3 linked regions of the Stegostoma tigrinum genome follow. The protein of the gene in region 1 purifies or fractionates together with the protein of each later gene. This does not show direct contact. Links are inferred from orthologs where the notes say so. Each region holds a gene or a part of one and is shown in the gene's direction. Other genes may lie near its edges.

The links. The genes of interacting proteins can lie anywhere in the genome.
Region 2: the proteins of bbs12 (region 1) and mkks purify together in Homo sapiens (co-immunoprecipitation; 4 studies listed by BioGRID and IntAct, counting the BioPlex papers as one, with this or other methods). This does not show direct contact. The link is inferred for Stegostoma tigrinum from reciprocal best matches to the Homo sapiens genes BBS12 and MKKS.
Region 3: the proteins of bbs12 (region 1) and bbs7 purify together in Homo sapiens (co-immunoprecipitation; 3 studies listed by BioGRID and IntAct, counting the BioPlex papers as one, with this or other methods). This does not show direct contact. The link is inferred for Stegostoma tigrinum from reciprocal best matches to the Homo sapiens genes BBS12 and BBS7.

What each region holds. Positions count from the first base shown.
Region 1 is NC_081354.1:35,335,600-35,342,825, reverse strand, and holds the start of bbs12 (Bardet-Biedl syndrome 12 protein), read left to right. Parts: upstream 1-4,043; 5' UTR 4,044-4,301; coding exon of another isoform or gene 4,302-4,308; coding exon 4,309-4,335; intron 4,336-7,226. Other genes in the region: uncharacterized protein cetn4, read right to left, coding at 3,757-3,759. UniProt on the Homo sapiens protein: Component of the chaperonin-containing T-complex (TRiC), a molecular chaperone complex that assists the folding of proteins upon ATP hydrolysis.
Region 2 is NC_081362.1:7,624,418-7,632,329, forward strand, and holds the start of mkks (McKusick-Kaufman/Bardet-Biedl syndromes putative chaperonin), read left to right. Parts: upstream 1-4,894; 5' UTR 4,895-4,895; coding exon 4,896-5,883; intron 5,884-7,912. UniProt on the Homo sapiens protein: Probable molecular chaperone that assists the folding of proteins upon ATP hydrolysis. Plays a role in the assembly of BBSome, a complex involved in ciliogenesis regulating transports vesicles to the cilia.
Region 3 is NC_081354.1:36,653,991-36,661,928, forward strand, and holds the start of bbs7 (Bardet-Biedl syndrome 7 protein), read left to right. Parts: upstream 1-4,920; 5' UTR 4,921-5,172; coding exon 5,173-5,208; intron 5,209-5,216; exon of another isoform or gene 5,217-5,311; coding exon of another isoform or gene 5,312-5,323; intron 5,324-6,343; coding exon 6,344-6,409; intron 6,410-7,938.

The sequences.
Region 1 (7,226 bases):
CACCCTTTCCAAAGCTTCCACATCCTTCTTATAATGCGGTGACCAGAACTGTACACAATACTCCAAGTGCGGCCGCACCCGAGTTTTGTACAGCTTCACCATAACCTCTTGGTTCCGGGACTCGATCCTTCTATTAAAAGCTAAAACACTGTATGCCTTCTTAACAGCCCTGTCAAACTGGGTGGCAGCTTTCAAGGATCTGTGTACATGGACACCGAGATCTCTCTGCTCATCTACACTAAGAATCTTACCATTAGCCCTGTACTTTGCCTTCCGGTTACTCCTACCAAAGTGCATCACCTCACACTTGTCTGCATTAAACTCCATTTGCCACCTCTCAGCCCAGCTCTGTAGCTTATCTATGTCTCTCTGCAACCTACAGCATCCTTCGTCACTGTCCACAACTCCACCGGCCTTAGTGTCGTCTGCAAATTTACTAACCCATCCTTCTACGCCCTCATCCAGGTCATTCATAAAAATGACAAACAGCAGTGGACCCAACACCGACCCTTGCGGTACACCACTAGCAACTGGTCTCCAGGATGAACATTTCCCATCAACTACCACCCTCTCTCTGTCTTCTTTCAGCAAGCCAATTTCCGATCCAAACTGCTATATCTCCCACAATTCCATTCCTCCGCATTTTGTACAAGAGCCTATTGTGGGGAACCTTATCGAATGCCTTGCTGAAATCCATATACACCACATCAACCAGTTTACTCTCATCTACCTGTTTGGTCACCTTCTCAAAGAACTCAATAAGGTTTGTGAGGTACGACCTTCCCTTCACAAAACCGTGCTGACTATCCCTAATCAATTTATTCTTTTCTAGATGATTATAAATCCTATCCCTTATAACCTTTTCCAACACTTTACCGACAACTGAGGTAAGGCTCACTGGTCTATAATTACCAGGGTTGTCTCTGCTCCCCTTCTTGAACTGGGGAAAGTCATATTACAAGTTATATTAAAAAAAATTAATACATGACTTTCAGAAAACAAAAAAAAAGTTTACTACAGGTGTCAATGAAGATAAAAGAAGAATCAATCAACTAGACCATTAAAGTGGTAATTGTTACTCTCAGAAGACTGAGATGCCAGGCATCCATTAGCTGAAACAGCAATCTCCAAGAAAAAACACTTTCAAAGATAGCTTTTTCTCTTAGATCTATCTGCTAATTGCTCAATGCTTGGTTACATGAGATAGGAGTATCAAGTGCTTGCAGTTACCCCGGTACATTCATCTTATGTCTAGAATTCAGCTTGAGTCAACAATTGGTACAGGCCTGGAGCTAAGAGGTTCTATCAATGAGCAGATTGTTGGTGAGTGTATGCCTCTTTAAAGTAGTGTAGCCAACTCCCTCAGCACTTTTTCTGATCACTGGAAGGAGGTTGGCAGGAGAGTAATTAGTTGGGTTGGCTTTGTCCTGTTTGTTTTGATAGATCATACTTGAAATAACTTTCTGCATTGCCAAGGTTAATTCAAGTGTTGTAGCTGTACTGGAACAGTTTACCTGTTGATGCAGACAGCTCTGTATCACAGTTTTTCAATGTCATAACTGAAAAGTAGGTGGAGCACATGGCCTATGATGTATCCAGTACACTCATTTTTGTGGAATTGAAAATAAAAATTAGAATTCAGTCAGGGTGATATCAAAATGAACTTCTTTACACAAACGATAGCAGACATCTGGAGCGTTCTCTCCAAAAACCTATTGAGCCCGTGTCAATTGAAAATTTCAGAAGAGTCTGACAGATCATCATTAAAAAGTGCAGACACATGGGAACACCATCACCTGCAAGTTCCTTTCCCAGTCACACACCATCCTGGAACCATTTAGGTCTTTTGCTGGGTCAAACTCCTGTAAGTACCTTCCCATCAGCAATTTGGGTGTTCCCACAGACCAAGGAATAAAGTAGTTGAAAAAGACAGTATACATCGCCTTCTCCAGTACAATTGGGGATGGTCAACAAATACTGGCTTAATCAGTGACTCCACATTTCCATGAGAGAGTAGTACAAAAAGACAGGCATAGAGAATTATTGAACTAAGGTCGTCAATGAAGATAAATACATACAGATCAAGCATTATCTAATTATATGACAAACATGCTCCAGTCATTGAGTGACATTCTCTCCAGGTTAGAATGAAACTGAATGAATATCAGTATCTATTGTGGGATGAGGGGCGAATGTCAAGAAGCAGCTGAGGAGGATCATCTAGGCAGCACTTCGAAGTATTATTTAATGTACTGATTTATGAACTGTGAGAAGGCAGAAGATGGAAATCAACAGGAGGTTTTCTTGCCCATACTTGATCTCAAGCCATAGAGTTGTTGGGTTCAGCTGAAGATTCCAATAGCTACTAGCCATTGTCTGCTAATTTCTGGTGAGTTATAATCAGGGATTGTGGTATAATAGTTGAAGACATTGGTTGTTCTGTGAGTGCGTGACTGATCTAGGGGAGTAGTCTCCCAACTCTGGCACCAGTGCCCAGATGTTAGTGAGGGTAATTTTATTCCAAATTGGCTGGCTGGGCATGCCTTTAGAATGTTTTGAATTAATGTCAAGTTTAGTTTGGCACTTAGTTTGCTATGTAACTGTTTGAAACAGTTAAGTGATTTGTCAGGATACTTCAGAGAAATACTGCTCATCTGATCCCTCAGTTCTCTTCACTCTTTGGGTTTTGTCTTGTCTACTCTGCATGATTTGATGAAAGGTTTCCTGCGGAATCCGAATCATGTATACAATAGCTGGAAAAGGCCAGCAGGGGCTGGTGACCCTTCTTCAGAATTGAGGAACAGTTTTGAGGAAGGGTCACTGGTCCTGAAACTTTAACTCTGTTTTCTCCTTCACAGATGCTGCCAGGCCTGCTGGGCTTTTCCAGCAACTTTTGTTTTTGTTCCTGATTTACAGCATCCACAGTTCTTTTGGTCTTTGTCATGTATGCAGTACACTGCTCTGGTTAGATGTTCTCATCTTCAGTTTGGAAATTAGTTAATCTCATTTCTGAATTCTAAAAGTTGATGGATACCAAACACTACAGCTGAGAAAGACATACAAACCTTGTTGTGAGGGCAGGTTTCTTTCCCAAAACTATATTAATGCGCTAGTTGCCTTTTTATAAATAAGCAATTTATTTCCAAGTTCTCCAGATTACTAGGCCAAAAATGTACAATCTGTTACATGACAAATCTGCCCGAATGCCTTATATCAATTGCTGTTCGCAAAAAGAACAGCCGTTTTTCTGAAGCTGTGAGAGCAGCTTTGTTCAAAATGACGATTTGCACATCAGAGCTTTTGAAAGTTTGGAATTGGGGTGCATGGTCGCTTTGGCCTCAAATTCCAAGAAGGATCATTCGAGGTACTGAAATTTGACATATCCATTTGATCGAGTGAATCATAACCATTATTTTGGATTTGTAAATATTTAAACTGTCAGTATAATTTATTTTCCTGTAAAGTAAATTTAGGGTTTATAGCCTATTAAAATTGGATAAATTTGATTTTGAATCGACTTAACCGAAACTTGTAACACATTTAATTATCAATTACATAGTAAGAACAAGTGGAAGGGCCACTTATTGGAATCAATACATTCTTCTGGATTGACAATATTTAACTCAACCACGAGCTCTCAGTGGGCACCTCTCACATGTTTTATAAAGCTATTAAAGTGGAAGAAAGCAAAATTTAATCAGTGAATCATACAATAAATAATCAACTCAGTAGAGAATTATGTCAAAAAAACCTTACCATTGCTCGAAGCACGTAGATAAATCGTATATAAAACAAAACCCGAAGCTGATATCTTGCACCGACCGTTTTATCCTTCCAACATAAACAAACTCTCGAACACCTCACTTAGTTTCCCAGACAAACGGACGCTTAATCGTCAACAACCGGGGTGGGCGCGTTGACGTCACCTTGACCGGCACCTCGGTTGACCAACCACAAATCGGTGTCAGGCGGGGCGGGAGAAGACGCGCACACCCCAACCAATGGTCTTCGAGAGTGGGCGCGACCCATGACGTCAGAGCTGGCGGGGAAAGCGCGCGGTTGGTATCGCAGCAACCCGCTCAAACAGGCCGCAGGCATGCGGAAACGCACCAAAACATCAACAACTGTGCAGATCTTATATTTTGGTAGTCGTTTTTATTTAATGATTTAAACATATTTTTGGCTAACACTTGTGCGACTAACAGCTTACATGCGTCATTTCCGTTGTTTAAAACGGAGACTTTGGTCCAAAAGGCGGTTTATTATGTCCTGAGAACTACCTGGGTTCCGGAGGCGGCTGCATGAGAAATGGAGCAGGTAACCAGCTATTCACAGGTAATGTCTGCAGCTCGGACTCTGAGCTGGCTGAAGGTGTGGTTTCCGCTCTGCTGTCTGCAGTAATTGGCCTATGGAAGTAACGCATCGTCATGAGGAAGAAAGGACATTTACAAGTCTGTTCATGAGGAGACACCAATCCGATCATACTCCCAACACAAAACCTAATTTACGACCCCCGTGAAAGTTTAACACACCTGGCCATGTTAATATGATCATTGTGTTCTGGTAAAAGTCTTTGAGCAGCAATGTTGGATTTAATTTTTGATCTGAATTGCAAGATGACCAACTGACCCAGGGTATATACCGTAATTTTATATTGTGGCCTGTACATTGACTTCCCGGGTCACCATTTCGAACAGCGAGTGGGATACTGTAGAGGCAACTTTCCACTTACCTCTACGCTGATATCTTTGGTGTTTATGCAAACACACAGCACCCGCACATATCGACTCCTCAACGGTAGGAAATGTTGGCTGACGGTCAGCATTCAGGAAGGTTAAATTGTCAAAGTTTGGTACCTGCTTGAGTGAGGGAAAGAGTGGCGACCCCAAATCTGGGACTGCGTCAATTGGAGCGTGAAGCAAAAGCTCCTGTGGGAATCGTAAGAGTTGAGTGAGTGGAGCTGACCCTAAGTGAGAGGGGTAGATGGGAGGTTTAAGTAGAGAAGCTCAGGATTGAGTGCCTGAAGTGGGGTGGAGTTGGGTGAGTTGTTCGTCTGTTGGGGTGCAGTGCGTAGTGGAGGAAGCAGCAATGTGGAAAGTAGTTGAGTTGTGAGGGCAGACTTACAAAGCATCCTATGTTTGTAATGTTCAACTCACCAGTCCTGTCAGCCCGTTACCATGCTCTTCGATGTTACTTCACAACCTCCACCTCACAATCCCAATGAAGATAACCATTTTGAAGACATAGAAATTTACAATTTGATTTGGGAGCACTTTTTCAAAGCGTGCCAACACCCAACTTCTTGACCCACAAATAAAAGGTAAAGTTGCCAAAGCCCTTTAAAGTGTTGGTAAGGATTTGTACCTTGGGTTGTGTCTAAGTCCTACCAGACCACAGCAAGAGCTGATTGGTGCTAGTTTACCTGAGGGTCACTGTGCCTCAGATGACAGGAGATGTTGAGAAAGAGAATCCTCATATTAACTTCAGTCAATGTGGGAATTGAACCTATATTGTTGGCATCCCTTTACATTGCAAATGAGCTGTCCAGCAACCTGTGCTAAACATTCCACCCACCCACTCCCCAGCCACATATTGAAAACCAAGCCTGTTAACTCTGTTTCCATTTTTATTTCATACAGTTCTAGAGTCACTGGTGGATTACTGTGTGTCCATCCCAGACCGATAACTGGCTCTCAAAGAAGACCTTTTTTAAAAAAGATCTACCCCATCTTTCTGCACTAGATAACCAAAGATTAGGACTAATGGCTAAAATTTTAGAACATCTCCCCTAATTGAATTGAAGGGTTTATTGTCATTTGCATTTTACAGTGAATAATACACCAAAATTTAGTGAAAAGCTTCAATCTTTGCCACATTTTGAATAGTTTAGGTATTAAAAGAGTCAAAAGATACATCTGAAAGAGAATCTGTCTTTATTCTGGTGCCTCCAACATGAGTCCTGAACCAGTGCACCGATGACACCTGTGTCACTACCCTCCTTCACTGCCTCGCCACCACCTGTGCTGGACCCACCAATGTAAACGTCGCCTCTCTTTAGATGCCATCTCTTCGCTGCTGGGCCCACTTCACTGAGTCCAAGTCCCAGATTGAATCCACACTTGCCCCATCTCCTGTCATCTGAGGCACAGTGCCCCAGGAGTCGCTGGCTGTCACTGCCTTGCCAATAACCAGAAGTCCCCGATCCAGGCGTATGGCACCTGCAACCAGGCATTCCTGGTTCTGTTGCTCCCTCAATGACACCAGAGGTCCCTGCTCCAGGTGTTCTGCCACCTTGCCAATGCCAGGAGTCCCCACTATCGGCCTACTGCAACCAGGAGTCTGTGGCTCCGCTGCTGCCTCGATGATGTCAGGAGTCCCCACTCCAGGCTTACCACGTTGCAGCTGCCACCTTGACGGCTCCAGGAGTGCCCTTCATTGGACCGACTGCAATCAAGAGTCTCTGGCTCCACTGCCAGGCCAGGTTGCCATAATGCCAAGAATCTAGTTCCGGGCACATTCTTTCGAGGTAGCACCTCACTGCCGTCTTGAAGAAGCTGCCCCTAGCCCCGAATGCAGGGAGGATGTCCTTGCTGCTGCTGCCGCCACAAATCACTAGGAGGAGCAGCATCCACTTTGACTGCCAGGAAGCTGCTGCCGTTTCTGTGCACGGCCCACTGTCGCTTGTGCCAATGCTGCCAACTAACCTGCCAAAGAAAAGAAAAAGAAAATAAAGAGCAGAAGTAAAAAGAAAAAGGAAAGTAGATAGTTGGGGATGAGATCCAAGCAAGACCCTTACATGCAGTCCTGTTACTCTGTTCCCATCTAAGTTGATGTGAGACATGTAGGCAAGTGAATGGTATTTCCCTGGGTAATAGGAGGATAGAGCATGTGAATGAATGACTGGAGAGAGTGTGCAGGAAGGTGAACCTTCTGGACTGATTTTGGGGAGGTGCAATCTATATAGGTCAGTTGCGCTGCATCTGAACAGCCCATTATCTTTCCAAGATGTGTTGTAAGTACAACTGGGGAGGGTTTAAACTCAGTTCTATGGAATGGAAGCAAGGTGTTCAATGAACTAGGAGACTTGGTGTACTAGAGTCGTAAATAGTTAGGTACCAAATGGGTCAGACCAGAGACGGGATGCAACAGGTCAAAATCAGGTTTACCATGCATAGCTGTAGACATGCAATATGGTAAAGAATATCGGGGAGCTGGAGACTCAGGTA
Region 2 (7,912 bases), on another chromosome or scaffold:
TGCTCCTAAGATGCTGCTTGGCCTGCTGTGTTCATCCAGCCCCGCACTTTGTTACCCCTGAGTACAGGCCGGGCAGTCCCTCAACTCAGCTGGAGGGAGTGTTGCTCCCGAACCGTGAGGAGGGCAGTTACTTCCTCGTTTGTCTCTCTCATAAAATTTAGGCTTCTCCTTTCCTTTGTATTTGCATCTTTCACTCTCTCAAGCCGTTCCCGTTCCTATAGATATACAGACTCCACGAAAAATTGCTGGGATCAAAAACTCCAAGCTACGCAAGATCCCACAGGATGTATTTTTCTTCACCCCCACCCCCACATGCTGCTTGAGAGACGGGACATTGCTATCTGAGCGTCCAGGTTAAGTTATTTCTGAGCTCCCTTTCTCCACCCCAGCCTCCCCCAGTAAATTTTCTGAAGAAAGGTCCCGACCCGCAATGTCAGCTTTCCTGCTCCTCTGATGCTGCCCGGCCTGCTGTGTTCATCCAGCTTCACACTGTGTGTTATCTCGGAATCCAGCATCTGCAGTTCCTGCTATCTCCGGCTGTAGGTTAATGTGGAATGTATTTATGTTTAACAGCTTGAGCACAGTTAAAGCCATTCTGTGCGTTTTTGTTTTGCCAAGGTATTTACCAGACTGAGATTGTTGAAGTAACAACGGAAGTTCCCAGTTCTGACGAAGGGTCACTCGACCTGAAATGTTATTTCTGACTTCTGTCAACAGATGCCGTTAGACCTGTTGAGCTTACCCAGCAATTTCTAATTTTTGGTTTACAGAATCCACAGTTCTTTAAGTTTTTACTGAAGTTGCTGAAGACTCACTAGACCTGGAACGTTGGCCCGAGTTTCTCTCCACAGATGCTGCCAGACCTGCTGAGTTTCTCAGATGCCATTTCTGCCACACCAGCAAGATGCCGCCACCAGACACACATGCCCTTCCCCTCTCCTCCTCTCTCTTGTCCGCATTCCGCAGGAACTGTTCCCTCCAGGACACCTGCACTCCCAAGAATCTAGTCTACTGCATTTGCTGCTCACAATGTGGTCTCCTCTATATTGGGGAAACGAAGCATAGACTTGGCGACCGCTTTGCAGAGGATCTATGTTCTGCTCACAAAAAAGACCATGAACTACCTGTTGTCTGCCACTTCAATGCACCACCTTGCTCCTTGGCCAACATCTCTGTCTCCAGCTTGCTACAGCGTTCCACTGAAGCCCAGAACATGCTGGAGGAAGAACACCTCATTTCTGCTTGGGGACCCTACAGCCCTCCGGATTCAATATTGAGTTCGATAATTTTAGGGCCTAAATTCTTCCGTTCCCAGTCCCCACCCCACACACCAGGTCTTGTTATCACATAGCCTGCCACTACACATCCCCTGTTGTTCATCACTAACAGTCCCTATTAATAATTATTCACCCTCCCAGCCTGATTGTTCGCAACTCCTTTGTCTGTCCAACTGTGTCTCTCTCTCTCTCTCTCTCTCTTTGGGCTCTATCCTGTCGTTTACTCCCTACCCCACCCACCTCCATTATTTTCTGCATATAAACTGATGTTTTCCAGCTACCATCAGTTCTGAGGAAGGGTCATCGGACCAGAAGTGTAAACTCTGTTTTCTCCTCCATAGCTGCTGCCAGACCTGCTGAGCTTTTCCAGCAACTTTGTTTTTGTTGCTGCTGAGTTTCTCTAACATTTTTCATTTTTGTTTGAGGTTGCTAAGCCTTTCCTTACCTAGCTTTTACAAGCCCTTATTCAACCTTAGTATTTTGTTCATCTCTGAAATGAGTCACAAACCCATTGACTCAAGATTGGGTTTATTATTTGATCTCTCTAATTCCTGACTTGTCCTAAGGTCTAACTTTGTTTTAGTCTGATAGCTCTATCCTAACACCCATTCTTTGCAGCAATCGACTCCAATCTCTGACTTCATTAATTTTGAAATCTTAATTTTCAGTTGTCCAAATGGCTTTGCTTCACCCTATGTCTAATCTCCAACATTGTTGTCCTGACTCTTCAGTCCTTTTGACCTTATTTAAATGGTATGACATTCATATCTCACTGACTAAATGTTATTGTATTTGCAGGTGACTGTTTAAATCAGACATGGGTCTCAAAACTGTCTGGAAAAACTACAGAGTTTTAATTGTTATGGGAACAAGTCTTACACTGATTCACTGGGGATGGTACAATATGAAGTCTAGTGAAACCTTCAAGAACAGAAACCAAGACTATATTCCACAGCCAGAAGTTTTGACAAGTATCATCCAAAAGGAAAGCCGACCAAAGGGAAATTAGTAATTCGATTTGCTGGGTAAGCCATACCCCCTTCATAAATTATGTCAAGAGTAGGTAAATCACCTCAAATTATGATGTTTGAAAAGTGTGCAAAAATACACAAAACTAGGTTACGGCTTGTTTGCAGGAGCTTATCTATTCTGTAGCAATACAAGAAAACAACTGTGTGTTCTTGAGGTTCAAATATCCCTTTTAGTTTTAATTATGGATTTGGGAGAGTATGTGGATGGTTCCAGGTCTTTCCTGCTTTCCTTGATCAGAGGACACGGTGACTATCTTTTGGGTGGGTGCCTCAACAGAAAGGCAAAGGGGTTTAAACAGAAAGAGTACATATTTGACACTTTTTTAATCAAACTCTGTTAACACAACAAGCTGCATTTATAAAACAAAAGTAGGATTTGTTGTCATTTCTAGGATATTTAAACAAAGGTATGTCATTGATGGTAATCCAATAGGTACATGTGTGAACTTAGTACGATGTTCTGAAGTCCAGCAAAACCATTACTGTTATCATTGAAATGACCTAGATTTGAATACATTTCCAAAATTGGCAACCAGTTCATGTCTTGGTAATACAATAATTATGTATAATAGTGGTACGTGTCAGGAGTACAAGGAGACAGAAGTGAGAAAATAAACTGAAAAATGGATGGTGCAATTTAATTGTGTTTGGATTTGAAGTGCTTAAACTTTGGGAGCACTAACATGGAAAGACATTATCGTATGCTTGGTGCTATTTTGAGGAGGATGTATAAACTTGAGAGTCTGCAGCACAGGTTCTTAAATGTTTGAAGTGCCAGGGCAAATGTAGAAGGTGGTTAAGAAATTAATTGGAATGCTGGGTTTAAAACTGTACAAACCAAGATGTCAACCATTTAGACCTTCGACCCTGCCCCACCTTGCAATAAAATCATGACTGATCGGATTTTAACCTCAAATCTGCATTCCCATCTAACCCTGAAAACATATCGCCCCAACGCTTAACAAGAATCAGTACATCTCTGCCTTAAATGAACAGAAACCTAGGGATGCAGGTACATAGCTCATTAAGAGCGGTGTCACAGGTAAATGGTGGTGAAGAAGGCATTTGGCACACTTGCTTTCGTTAATCCAAGTGTTGAGTACAGGAGTTGGGACGTCATGTTACAGCTGTACAAGACATCGATAAGGTCACATTTGAAGCACTGCATATAGCAGCTAGAAATGATGCAGAAGAATTTACAAGTATATTACCAAGCTTGGAAGTTTTGAGATATAAGGAGACGCTGGAAATTTTTTCTCTCGAGTGGGACTGAGGGGATGACCTGAAACAGTTTTATAAAATCACAAGAGTCGTAGATAAGATGAATAGCTGAGGTCTTTTCTCCAGAGGAGGAGAGGGGAGTCCAAAACTAGAGGGCATAAATTTAAGGTAGGAGGGGAAGATTTAAAACGGATCTGAGGGACAACTTGTTCACACAGAGGTTGGTGGATATGGAATGAGCTGCCAGAGATAGTGCTGGAGGTGGATACAGTTACAACACTTAAAAGACATTTAGACAGGGTACTTGGATCCAAAAAGTTTAGAGGGAAATGGGCCAAATGCGAGCAAATGGAACTCGCGCAGTGTAGGAAACCTGGTCACCTTGAATGAGTTGTGCCGAAGTCCTTGCCGTACGACTCTGTAAATAATGCGTAAAGGACAGCTTCTACTACCACCTTCTTTTCAGGAATAGAGTTGCAAAATCTCGCAACTCTGAAAGAAAATATTTCGCCTCAGTTCCATTTTAAATGGATGACCCCTGATTTTTAAACAGTGACCTCAAGTTCTTGATTCTTCTATAATTCATCCTGTCCAGACTCCTCAGGGTCTTTAAAAATTGGGAAAATAAAGACTAAGAAACTCTTAAAAAAAGCTTTACCGCTTTCTGGATAGGCTTCAGTTGAAAGAGCTGTGGAATCAGATTTCATAATTTTTTTTAAAGTCAATTGGGCATGTAGTTGAAAAGTTCAAATTTACAGGTATATGGGGGAGTCCAGGCTGAAGTTTAGGACTAAACTGTTTCAGAACCAGCGGCATGATAGACTACGTTGTCTTCTCAATGATGTAGATTCTATGATTGGAAAACTTAATTTTTTTAAGCACAATTTAACTGTCTGTATTTTCTATTTACAGATAATAAATTGGAATGCAAATATTTCATTGTCGCATCCTTACAGAAGAATGAGAAATAAAAGATGGCTACGCAAAAATTGGCTTCTGGTGGCAGGACTGTCCTTACTTGGCATCCATAGTGTAACCTACTTGATGCAGAAATTTGTAAAAAAATCAACAAGTTTAGAATTGAAGCAGAAAAATGTAGATAAATAATAATGAAATGCCAAGCAAGATGAATCTTCTACAATGCATCCAAATTTTGCTCTTCTGGTTGGTTTAACGTTGAAATATATTTCAATGGGAATTTCAAATTATTTTCATCTTCTATAATATGACTGGCACGTTTGGAATGTACAACCTTTTAAATGAGCAGAGGTGAAGTGCTGCATGTTAAATTTCAGTTTCCTTTTGCAAATAATAAACCAACTAATCCTTGCAAGTTTGCTGTTTTCAAACCTTCCACTCTACCTGAATGATGGCCTCAATTGTGCGTAAAATAGCATCTTCGTGCAGCTCCGGACCGTTAAATAGTGATGTTCTTTGTCAGGCTCTTTCCACTCTCAGAGGAATTGTGGAGTCCTGTTATGGCCCATTTGGTAGACTTAAACTAATTCACAATGCTGTAGGAGGCTACGTTTTAACCACATCACAGTCTTCAGCCCTTTTGCGTAGCCTTTCTGTGTCCCATCCTGTGATCAAGTTACTAATAGCTTCCGTGCTGAATCATGTTTCTCGATTTAGCGATTCTGGACTATTTACAGCAATTCTCTGCTGTAATTTGGCTGAAAGTGCAAAACAACTTAACATATTAACCAGTCACATTGTCAAAATCCATAAACACCTTCTGAATATTTGCCTTGACTATCTAACTTCAGAAGAATGTAGCTGCAAAATACAAATAGATTTTAGTAACAGCAAGACTTTGCTTTCGCTTGTTCGTACGATGATAAATAAGCCTACTTGTATGCTGACCACAAAAGAAGCTGACTACATCAGTTCATTAGTGTTAAAGGCATTCTTTTATTCAATACCATCTGTGATCGGAGATAATATATCTTTGGGAAAGATGCAGATTGTTCCCATTGAGGGACAACGTGTTACTGACTCTTGTGTGCTTTCTGGGATCCTTATAGAGATATTTTCATCTCCTTCAACAACAGTTGATATTACAAAATTGACAATTGGTTACATTAAGGTTGCTGTATTCAATGTCTCCATGTCAGGAGATGTTGTTGACAGTGGAAATGGAACCTGGGAGGTGACACCAGGTTTCAGGCCAGAAGATGAATCACTTGCACAGCTGCTGAAAGTGGGAAAACAGCTAGTTTGTGACCAAGTTCACCTTGTGGTATGCCAAAAAGTAATCCATCCTGTTCTAAAACAATATCTTCAGGAGCAACAAGTGATGGTAGGAGATAGACTTGGAGTTGCTCTCATGGACCCTCTGATTCAAATAACAGGTCGGTATGTTAATCACTAACAATACTTCACCGAGTGCCTTTGATGTTTGTGCTTAGGTTCAAACTTTGAAGATGAAAGTGTTCATATGTTCTTCATTTTAGTATTGGTTGTTTAGTGTTTTCTTTTTGTTTTAACTCCCTAAGACTTATTGCTAGGTTGCAAGAAATATAAACATATATTTTATAGTTCCAAAATAATAACTTGTGCTTTACATCAGTTATCTGTGGTAAGATTTTCTTAAAATCATGAGAATGGTGTCATTAACCTAGTTGTGTAACTTATTTAATTATGTGATTCAAAACCAGTTTCCTTTCGTAAATGTAACTGAATGTCCTTTTAGCCATAGATTAATTGCCTGCCATTTAGATTCCCATTCTACTTAACACCAATTAATATCTGCACCTAGTTGGCAAAAAAGACCTCAGAAGGCTGTTTTGAAAGATATAAGTACATTAGCAACATGACCTAAGAATTCATCATTCCTTTCAACATTTGGTGCTATCTTTAACACTTTTTTAAAAAACAAATTCTTGGTGGTCTGCTACATAATATTAGTCATCAAGTTTTCCCTTGCGGTTTTCTACATGATAAGTTCTGTGTCATCCATACTGGCTGTAAGAGGTGGCAAAATAACACAAGAGAAAATGTGCGCTCATCACACATTGCTCTTGCATGATTGCCCATACATAAGTGACCAGCAGAGAGACTTGGGAGCACACTAACCAACCTGCCTACTTTGAATCATAGAATCCCTACAGGGCCTTCAGCCCAACAAGTCTATACTGACCCTCTGAAAATCCCATCCAGACTCATCCCTCATAACCCACCTAATCTACACATCACTGAACACTATGGGCAATTTAGCACAGCCAATTCACCTAGCCTGCATAACTTTGGACTGCGAGAGGAAACCCCAGCACCCAGGGGAAACCCATGCAGACACAGGGAGAATGTGCAAAGGCTGAGGAATTGTGCAGAATAGAGGATCTAAACTGGAAAAATATGAAATTATAGTGATCAATATATGAGAAAAATTAGTTTTCAATCAAGAAACGTCATTTTTTAAAATTACATTGTTATGAGATATGGGCTTCATTGGTAAGGCAAGAGTTTGGTGCCTATCCCTAAAAGACCTTAAAACTGAGTGACTTGGACCATTTAAGAGGGCATTTGAAAGTCAACCACCTTGCTTTGCATCTGGAGTCACACAAAGGTCAGACTGGCAGATTTTCTTTCCTGAAGAATAGTAGTAAATCTAATGTATTTTTAAGACAACCAGTGATAGTTGTCATGGTCACCAGTACTGAGGCCAGCTTTCAATCTCAGATTTTATTGACGGCATTTAAATTCTACCGGTTGCCACAATGGGATTTGAACCCATATTTCCAGAGCATTGGTCTGAGTGTCTGGATTATTATTACCTATTAGAGTGAATGTTACAGCTTTCAGTGTAGATGGCTGATTTGAACAGGTTTCAAAAAATGGGTCAATTAAGGTTGAGTACCTACACATTAAAATTCCTGATATCTGCCACCGAATTCTCTATTAACCAGAATTCTGTGAGTGGGTCTGTTTCTTGACTGGAGGTGTTTCTTATCCATCAGAAATCAGTATTAATCTACATTCCCCATCAATTCCAACTGTCTCGCTATTGCTCATAATTGCCACACTCATTGGTAGTCATGATGAGCAGCCTGCCTTCACTCTGGTCCTTCCAAGTCCACAATGTCATATTCCTTTGGTGCAGCTCACTAGATTTGCATGCTCCATCTGTTGTGGAATCTCAACACCTGCATTACTGTGTGATCATTCAGGAGCTTTCTGATTTGATGAAAATGTGGATCTTAACTTGCATCTTTGTTTATCGATATGCTTGATTAACCAGCACCCTCCATTCCTGGAACCTGTTGGATAACAGTAACCTTCTTATAGCTAAGGTAGCTTAAAATATCATTTGGGTAGTTTTGTGCAGTGACTACAGAATAGATATGGGAATAATGGTTGGCAATAAAATTTACGCTGAGAGCT
Region 3 (7,938 bases), about 1.3 Mb from region 1:
TTCCAACCTTTGTATTAGTCCTGATGTCAGCAACTGCCTTGATGTTCTGTTAACTTGTTTTGAATAAATGGTCTTTGAAGGCTGTGGGGCACAAATTCAGCAATTTCAGGGTGCTGTCCTTATTGATGCTGTTGTTGTCATAGGGTGCCTGCCTTCCTGATTAGTCCAGCACTCCCTGGCAATTGTTTCTTTGGCTAGGTCAATGTTTATGGATGTGAATAGTACTGTTACATTGAGGGAAGAAACTGGAGCTCCTGTAGGGATAATAAAATGTGAGGCTGGATGAACACAGCAGGCCAAGCAGCATCTCAGGAGCACAAAAGCTGACGTTTCGGGCCTAGACCCGGGTCTAGGCCCGAAACGTCAGCTTTTGTGCTCCTGAGATGCTGCTTGGCCTGCTGTGTTCATCCAGCCTCACATTTTATTATCTTGGAATCTCCAGCATCTGCAGTTCCCATTATCTCCTGTAGGGAACCCACACAGACATAGACAGAACGTGTAAAGTGCACACAAACAGTTGCCCAGTGCAGGAAACAAATCTGGGACCTTGCTCGATCAAGTCCTAGAGACTTGATTCTTCAGGAATGTTGATATCTTCTGAAATATAGTTCTGGTCATAGTTTATACTCACATTGATATTGACCAAGGAGTGTTAACAAGGAGGTAACAATAGAACATGTCGACAATTGTAATATAAGAAGTCACCTGACAAAAGAGCAGTGCTCCAAAAACTAGTGATTTCAAATAATCCTGCTGGACTATAACCTGGTATCATGTGACTTCTGACTTTGTGTGTCCCACTCCAACACTGGCACCCCCATATTATTAATTTAAAATGAGCACAGACCCAACCTGCTCAACATTTCCTCATTAGTCTGATTCCTTAGATGAAGGCATCTGTCTTATGAATATTCTCTCATTATGAATATTCTCTCAACTGCTTCCAATGCAAGTATTTTTCTCTTAAGAAGACAAAAAACATACTGTAGTTCTAGTCTCACCAATGCCAGATACAACTGTGTCAAGACTTCCTGACAGTTCATTTTCCTTGTAATAAAGGCCAATGTTATCTTTACCTCCTAATTACAAACTGATCCTTTGTAATTCGAGTCAAAGAGCATCCACATTCCACTACACTGCAACATTCTACCGTCTCCCTCCTTCTAAATAATACTCTGCCTTTCTTCTAGCTGACGTGGACAATCTAATTTGCCCCACACTTCATGTCAAACTTTTGCCCACCAATTAATACCTCTTTATATCTTCATGACTAGCTTTCCTGTCTAACTTGTGTTGTCAGAAAGCATGGCTGCAATTGGACCCTTCAAGTCACAGGCAGATTGTAAGAAGTTAAGATCCCGGAGGTGATCCATGGCACTTCACTATTTATCCCAGCTCTCTCTGGCTACCCAGCCTCTTTCCGTGCTGTTGTATCACTCACAAATCATTTTATCTTGTGTGGTTCTTGTCAAATGCCTTTTGGAAATCCGAAATGATACCACTCTGTCCACCCTGGCTGTTACATCTTCAAATAACACACAAGCTTGTTAAAAATGCTATGCGTTGCACAAAACCATGTTGATTCTGCCCTATTATATTACAATTATCTCCATGCCCTATTGCTACCTCCTTGATAATGACAGCATACTATATTCTTGAGGTTATACTCACATCTGTATAACCATGACCAGTGCTATATCTTAAGATATCAGATGACCCTGAAGAATCAAGTCTGTGTCTTTAGAACTTGCATTTTATCAAACAGTTAATCCCTGAACACTATGGACAATCTAGCATAGCCAATCTACCTAATGACCACATCGTTGGACTTGTTCAAAAAAAGGACAAATCCCATCTGGCCAATTACTTTTCCAGTCGATATTACATTCCCAGTCTATCTTTGATCTTCAGGGAGGTGATGGAAGCTGTTACTGAGTAAATCAATTTGGCTGAAGACTGGTATCTGTGGGAAGAACTGGGATAGACCATTCACTCAGCACTGCAGTACAAATATAGATGAAATTGGTTCAGCCTCGTCTTTCACACAGATGTGCTGGGTCTTCCAGAATTGAAGATGGGTGTGTTTGTGAAGCTTCTGCTGCTCCGCCTCCTGTTAGTTCTTTAATTATTAATTATTCACAGCTGGAACAAAAGCAGGAATGCAGACACTAGATCTGTTGTTTGTGGGAATTACTTTGCTTGGTCTCTTGCAGCTGCTTCTGCTGCATGGTATATGTTTTAGCTTTCCCAGGCTGAAAATTTAATTTTAGATATGCTAGGTGCTCCTCCTGGAATGTTTTTTGTACCCTTCACTGAACCAGTGTTGATCTCACAGCTTAATGGTTATGGTGGAATGGGGATAGGTTAGTCCATGAGTTACAGGCTGTGATTGAATACTATTCTGCTGATGATGGCTGTCAGCACCTCCAATAGATAATAAAATGTGAGGCTGGATGAACACTGCAGGCCAAGCAGCATCCCAGGAGCACAAAAGCTGACGTTTCAGGCCGAGACCCTTCATCAGAGAGGGGGATGGGGTGAGGGTTCTGGAATAAATAGGGAGAGAGGGGGAGGTGGACCGAAGATGGAGAGAAAAGAAGATAGGTGGAGAGGAGAGTATAGGTGGGGAGGTCGGGAGGGGATAGGTCAGTCCAGGGAAGACGGACAGGTCAAGGAGGTGGGATGAGGTTAGTAGGTAGCAGATGGAGGTGCGGCTTGGGGTGGGAGGAAAGGATGGGTGAGAGGAAGAACAGGTTAGGGAGGCAGAGACAGGTTGGACTGGTTTTGGGATGCAGTGGGTAGAGGGGAAGAGCTGGGCTGGTTGTGTGGTGCAGTGGGGGGAGGGGACGAACTGGGCTGGTTTTGGGATGCGGTGGGGGAAGGGGAGATTTTGAAGCTGGTGAAGTCCATATTGATACCATTGGGCTGCAGGGTTCCCAAGCGGAATATGAGTTGCTGTTCCTGCAACCTTCGGGTGGCATCATTGTGGCACTGCAGGAGGCCATGATGGACACGTCATCTAAAGAATGGGAGGGGGAGTGGAAATGGTTTGCGACTGAGAGGTGCAGTTGTTTATTGCGAACCGAGCGGAGGTGTTCTGCAAAGCGGTCCCCAAGCCTCCGCTTGGTTTCCCCAATGTAGAGGAAGCCACACCGGGTACAGTGGATGCAGTATACCACATTGGCAGATGTGCAGGTGGACTGACCTATCTCCTCTCCACCCATCTTCTTTTCTCTCCATCTTCGGTCCGCCTCCCCCTCTCTCCCTATTTATTCCAGAACCCTCACCCCATCCCCCTCTCTGATGAAGGGTCTAGGCCCGAAACGTCAGCTTTTGTGCTCATGGGATGCTGCTTGGCCTGCTGTGTTCATCCAGCCTCACATTTTATTATCTTGGATTCTCCAGCATCTGCAGTTCCCATTATCACCTCCAATAGATACCCAGTTTTGACTTGCTAGATCTGTTTGACATACAACACATTTAACACAGTGGTAGTGTGACACAACATGATAGAGTGCATCTTTAGTGTCAAGACAAATTAAATTGTCTACAAAATTATTACAATAAACACAGGTTCCTCTCATCAGGAAAAAGATGAAGTGTTGCAACCTTACCAGTATTCGCAGTAAGATGGAATTTATGCCAGTTGAGATTCTCATTCACAACAGAAGAACCAATATTAAAAAGTAGAAATCAGCCTACACAATTCATCTCTGAACAACAGAGTAACTTACACCACATCTCCCGTTTTGCATGTGAACACTAAAGTCTGAGATAATCATTTATGAATACTATACATGGAAGAGTTGAAAAACAGTACAACCACAGAAGTTCTTTTCTATATCGGGTTTCTAAAATACGCTTGGTGTCATAAGCTCCCAAGGCAGAACGGAACTTGAACTGTATGGTAATGGCTGAAATGCCCCTCTATTTTCTTAGATTTAGAATTTTTATAAAGGCAGAGAAAGTATCCCTAGTGGACCTCTGGACAAGAAGGTGTAGGTTCAAGACCCACCCAACTCATGAGGTGTGTCAGGACATGTCTGAACAAGGTGATTAAAATAATGATTTTCTCAGACTTTTCCCGCTAGTGCGTGCGGTTTAGTGGACTGATATGAAGTTTGATTGCTGCAAAATAAAAAGCTGGTCAAAATGGAGGTGTTTTTATCTCCTTCCAATTTCTACCTAGTGAACTTCTTCCGACCTCCATGCCCAAGGATTTGAAATAACTCTCAGACTCCAACAGTCACACAGAGAGTTTAAATGGGGCAATCTTAGGAAATGTTTAGGGAGGACTAAAGGCTGCACCCAAAAAAAATCAGATCAAAATTCACAGACTGTGTACAACTCCAGGAGGCCTACTTTCTCTATCTGTTTGGGTTCAGTGAAGCATAGCTATGCAGAGTGGTTCCGCACAAGGCTTCTGTGCCAAGAGATGATGTAAACCAAAATAAATTGCTTATGCCCAAATGAACTTTTGCATTGAATCTTGGCATCTTAAGATGAAAACTGGCTTCTATGTTTCCTATATTGCAACGGTAACCAAACTTCAAAAAGTGCTTCATTGGTTATAAAGTACTTTGAGACATCTGGTGGTCATGAAAGCAGCTACATAAGATGAAGGGTCTAGGCCCGAAACGTCAGCTTTTGTGCTCCTGAGATGCTGCTTGGCCTGCTGTGTTCGTCCAGCCTCACATTTTGTTATCTTGGAGTCTCCAGCATCTGCAGTTCCCATTATCTCTCACATAAATGAAAGTCACGGTTTTTAAAAAATCCTGACTCTGAGAAGGATGTCGCCTTCACTTTCATGAAGTGATTGGGGAAGCGGACCCTGCCAATGAGCGCTGAGTTTAAATGCCTGTGCGATCTCCGAAAACCAATGATGTGTGGTGTTTGAGACGCCTTTGATTACCATAGAAACGGAATGAGCAGGCCCCTGTGTGGTTTTGTACAGATTTAGGAGTTGTTTTATAAATAAGTAGTCTGTGGGTTTGGTTGCTGTTTTTCGCCCAGTTTGATGCATTGAATGCCCAGCGATTTCTGGCATGATTTTCATATGCGGCGTTGTCTTTTTCCCGGTGCTTTGTCCGTAATAGTTTTAAAGTCGGACCCAGCCGTCGTCTCAATCCGCTCGTTTTAGGAATCTTTACAGAATAAGAATTTCCTGCGTCCATGGATTTAAATTTAAACCGCGTTGACTACCTGCAGGTTGTAGACGTGATTCCGTTATCACCTGGGTTGGAATAAGAGGCGCTAATAGCTGTTAAATCCAGTAGATGGAGAATAATTTTGACACCTTTGCCGTTTGAGGATGGGAGTGTTGGTAAAGATTTTAGTTAGTAAAGATAAACTAGCATACATATTGCTACACAAGTGCTGGATTTCATGAGAAGAGAATGTCTTGTAAACAAATTAGTTTCATGTTTAGAATTTCTGTTAGGTAATACTTAACAAATCTATGTGAAGTGAACTCCATTATTTCAGGCAATAGAATTCCAAGCAATGTCCTGGTCCCAAAGTTCATCTTCAGTTTGTATTACCAGAGGGATGATAAGGTCGCTGGAATTAGCACACTGACTTTGGAAGGAAGTGGAAGTTCCTGTTCCTGAGCCAGATTTGTTGACCATTGCTCAGAAATATAAATGTTGAACTTAGCAATCTTTTACTGTATACGTCCTATTATTGTGTCTACTTGAAAACATTAAGTTGGTATAAATTTGATACTGTTGTTCTGATTTCAATGATGTGATTAAATCATCCTCCTGCACACATTAGCTGAGATTTTTTTAACAGCCAGTCAAAAATCCTATCTCCCAAAAGAGCAATTGTAACTTCCAACTTACAAAAGTTGTACTTACTGTGGTGATAGCACAATAATGGTTATTTTGCAGGCTAGGTGGATTGGCCATGCTAAATTGCCCATAGTGTTCAGGGGCGTGTGGGTTATCGGGGTATGGGTCAGGGTGGGGTGCTTCAAGGGGTGGTGTGGACTTGTTGGGCTGAAGGGCCTGTATTCACACTGTTGGTAATCTAATCTAATCTAGTTCTTCTGATGAGAAAGGATGTATGACACAAAGGATCAGTAAAGATGCAAAAAGTTGTCAAGAAATTTAGGATGGTCTAATAAAGGGTGATTTTTTTTCTGTTGTATGAAGTAGACTGGGGCATCAAGACTCCTGTATCTGTAATGGGCTTGTGAAACTTTAGTAGAGTGTTACAGTTACACTAACGTTGGTCCAGTTTTTCTTTGACCCATCCCATAGTGTGGTGCATTCAGGGACTAGAATAATCAATGTTTATTTGTTGTGATGTTGCTGTAAGTAGCCCTTTTTTCTTCTCCTAGGTAGGAGTGACTTCCCAAAAGACCATGAGGCTGCTACCTGCATCAGGACGCAGAGCAATCCAAAAGGTTAATTCACATTAAGTTAACACATGTAACTTGTTTTTTCAGTTCCAGGCAAAAGTGTGGGAGAAAGGAAAAAAGATGTCCTATCCTTGATGTAGCACCACGTAGTTTTCTCAGCAGGGATGTTTTTACTGTATGTTGTGACATTATTGGAAAGCATATTTAAGTAGAAATTTGCATTTTAGTTTTATAATGGCCAAACAATAGACAGATCTTACAGCTAAGTGATCATATCTAAAGTCTGCAGGCCTATCACATGAACAGTGAATGATGCTGGACAAGTAAAAGAACTGGAGAAAGACAGTCTGCAAATATCTCAATCCAGCTCAGTGGTGGGGGAAAAAAAGACAAGGTTGAACCATGGCATATATCTTCACCCAGCAGTGCCAAATAGACAATTCATCTCGTTGTCCTCCTGAGGTCCCAATTAGTTTTCAGCTAATTTGATTCACTCCCGTGTGATATTGAGCAGCGACTGAAGGCATGGATAGTGCAAAAGCTACGGACCCTGACAACGTTCCAGCAACTGTGCTGAAGACTTGGGTACCAGTTTTAACTGTGCCCCTAATGAAACCATTCCATTATGTCTACATCATTGCCAGGTAGCTGCCAATGTGGAAAATTTCCCAGTTATGATCTGTCCACACAAAGGATAAATCCAATTCACTGAATTACTGCCCTTTTGGCCTCTCTCCATCATGAACAAAACGTTGGAGAGGTCACTCTCGCTGCTGTCAAATGGCACTTGCTTAGAAAATTCTTTTTGTTGAACCTTGGTTTGAGTTGCTCACGGGCTACAGAGCTCCTAACCTTATTACATCCTTGATCCCAAGATTGTCACAAGAGCTGAATTCTAGAGGTGAGGTCAGAGTGATTATCAAGTGCAGCCTTGATGTTAAGGACAGTGTGTGGTGTCAAGATGTCCCAGCAAAACTGGCTTCAATGGGAATTAGAGCCACGTCTTATACAAAGGAAGACACTTGTTGTCGGAGATCAATCATCTCAGTCCTGGAGTAACATTAAAGGAGTTTTTCAGTTTAGGTGTTTTCCAATCAGTCTGTTCAGGGATATTATTAAACACTTTCAAAGCAGGTGACATTTGATCCCAGATCTCTCGGCTCGAGGTCGGGACACATCCACTGTAACTCCAGAGATCTTAGTTCCTCAAGCTAATGCCTTAGTCCCAACAATCTTCAGCTGTTTTAGCAATGATCTTTTTGCCACCATAATGTCAAAAATAGGGATGTTGCTGCTAATTGTACGACATTTAGCAGCATTCACAACTCGAGATACTGAAATAGTCCACGTGCAAATGCAACAAGACCTGGACATCATCCAGGCTTGAGTTGATTAGTGGTAACATGCTAAGCACTTATGTGGCATGAAACAATCATCTCTAACATGGGAGAATTTAACCATCTCCCCTTGGCATTCAATGACCTCATCATGACAAAAATTGTGACTGTCCACATCCTGGGGTTACAGCTGACCTGAAACTAAACTGGTTTAGCCATGTAAATCCTGTATTCACA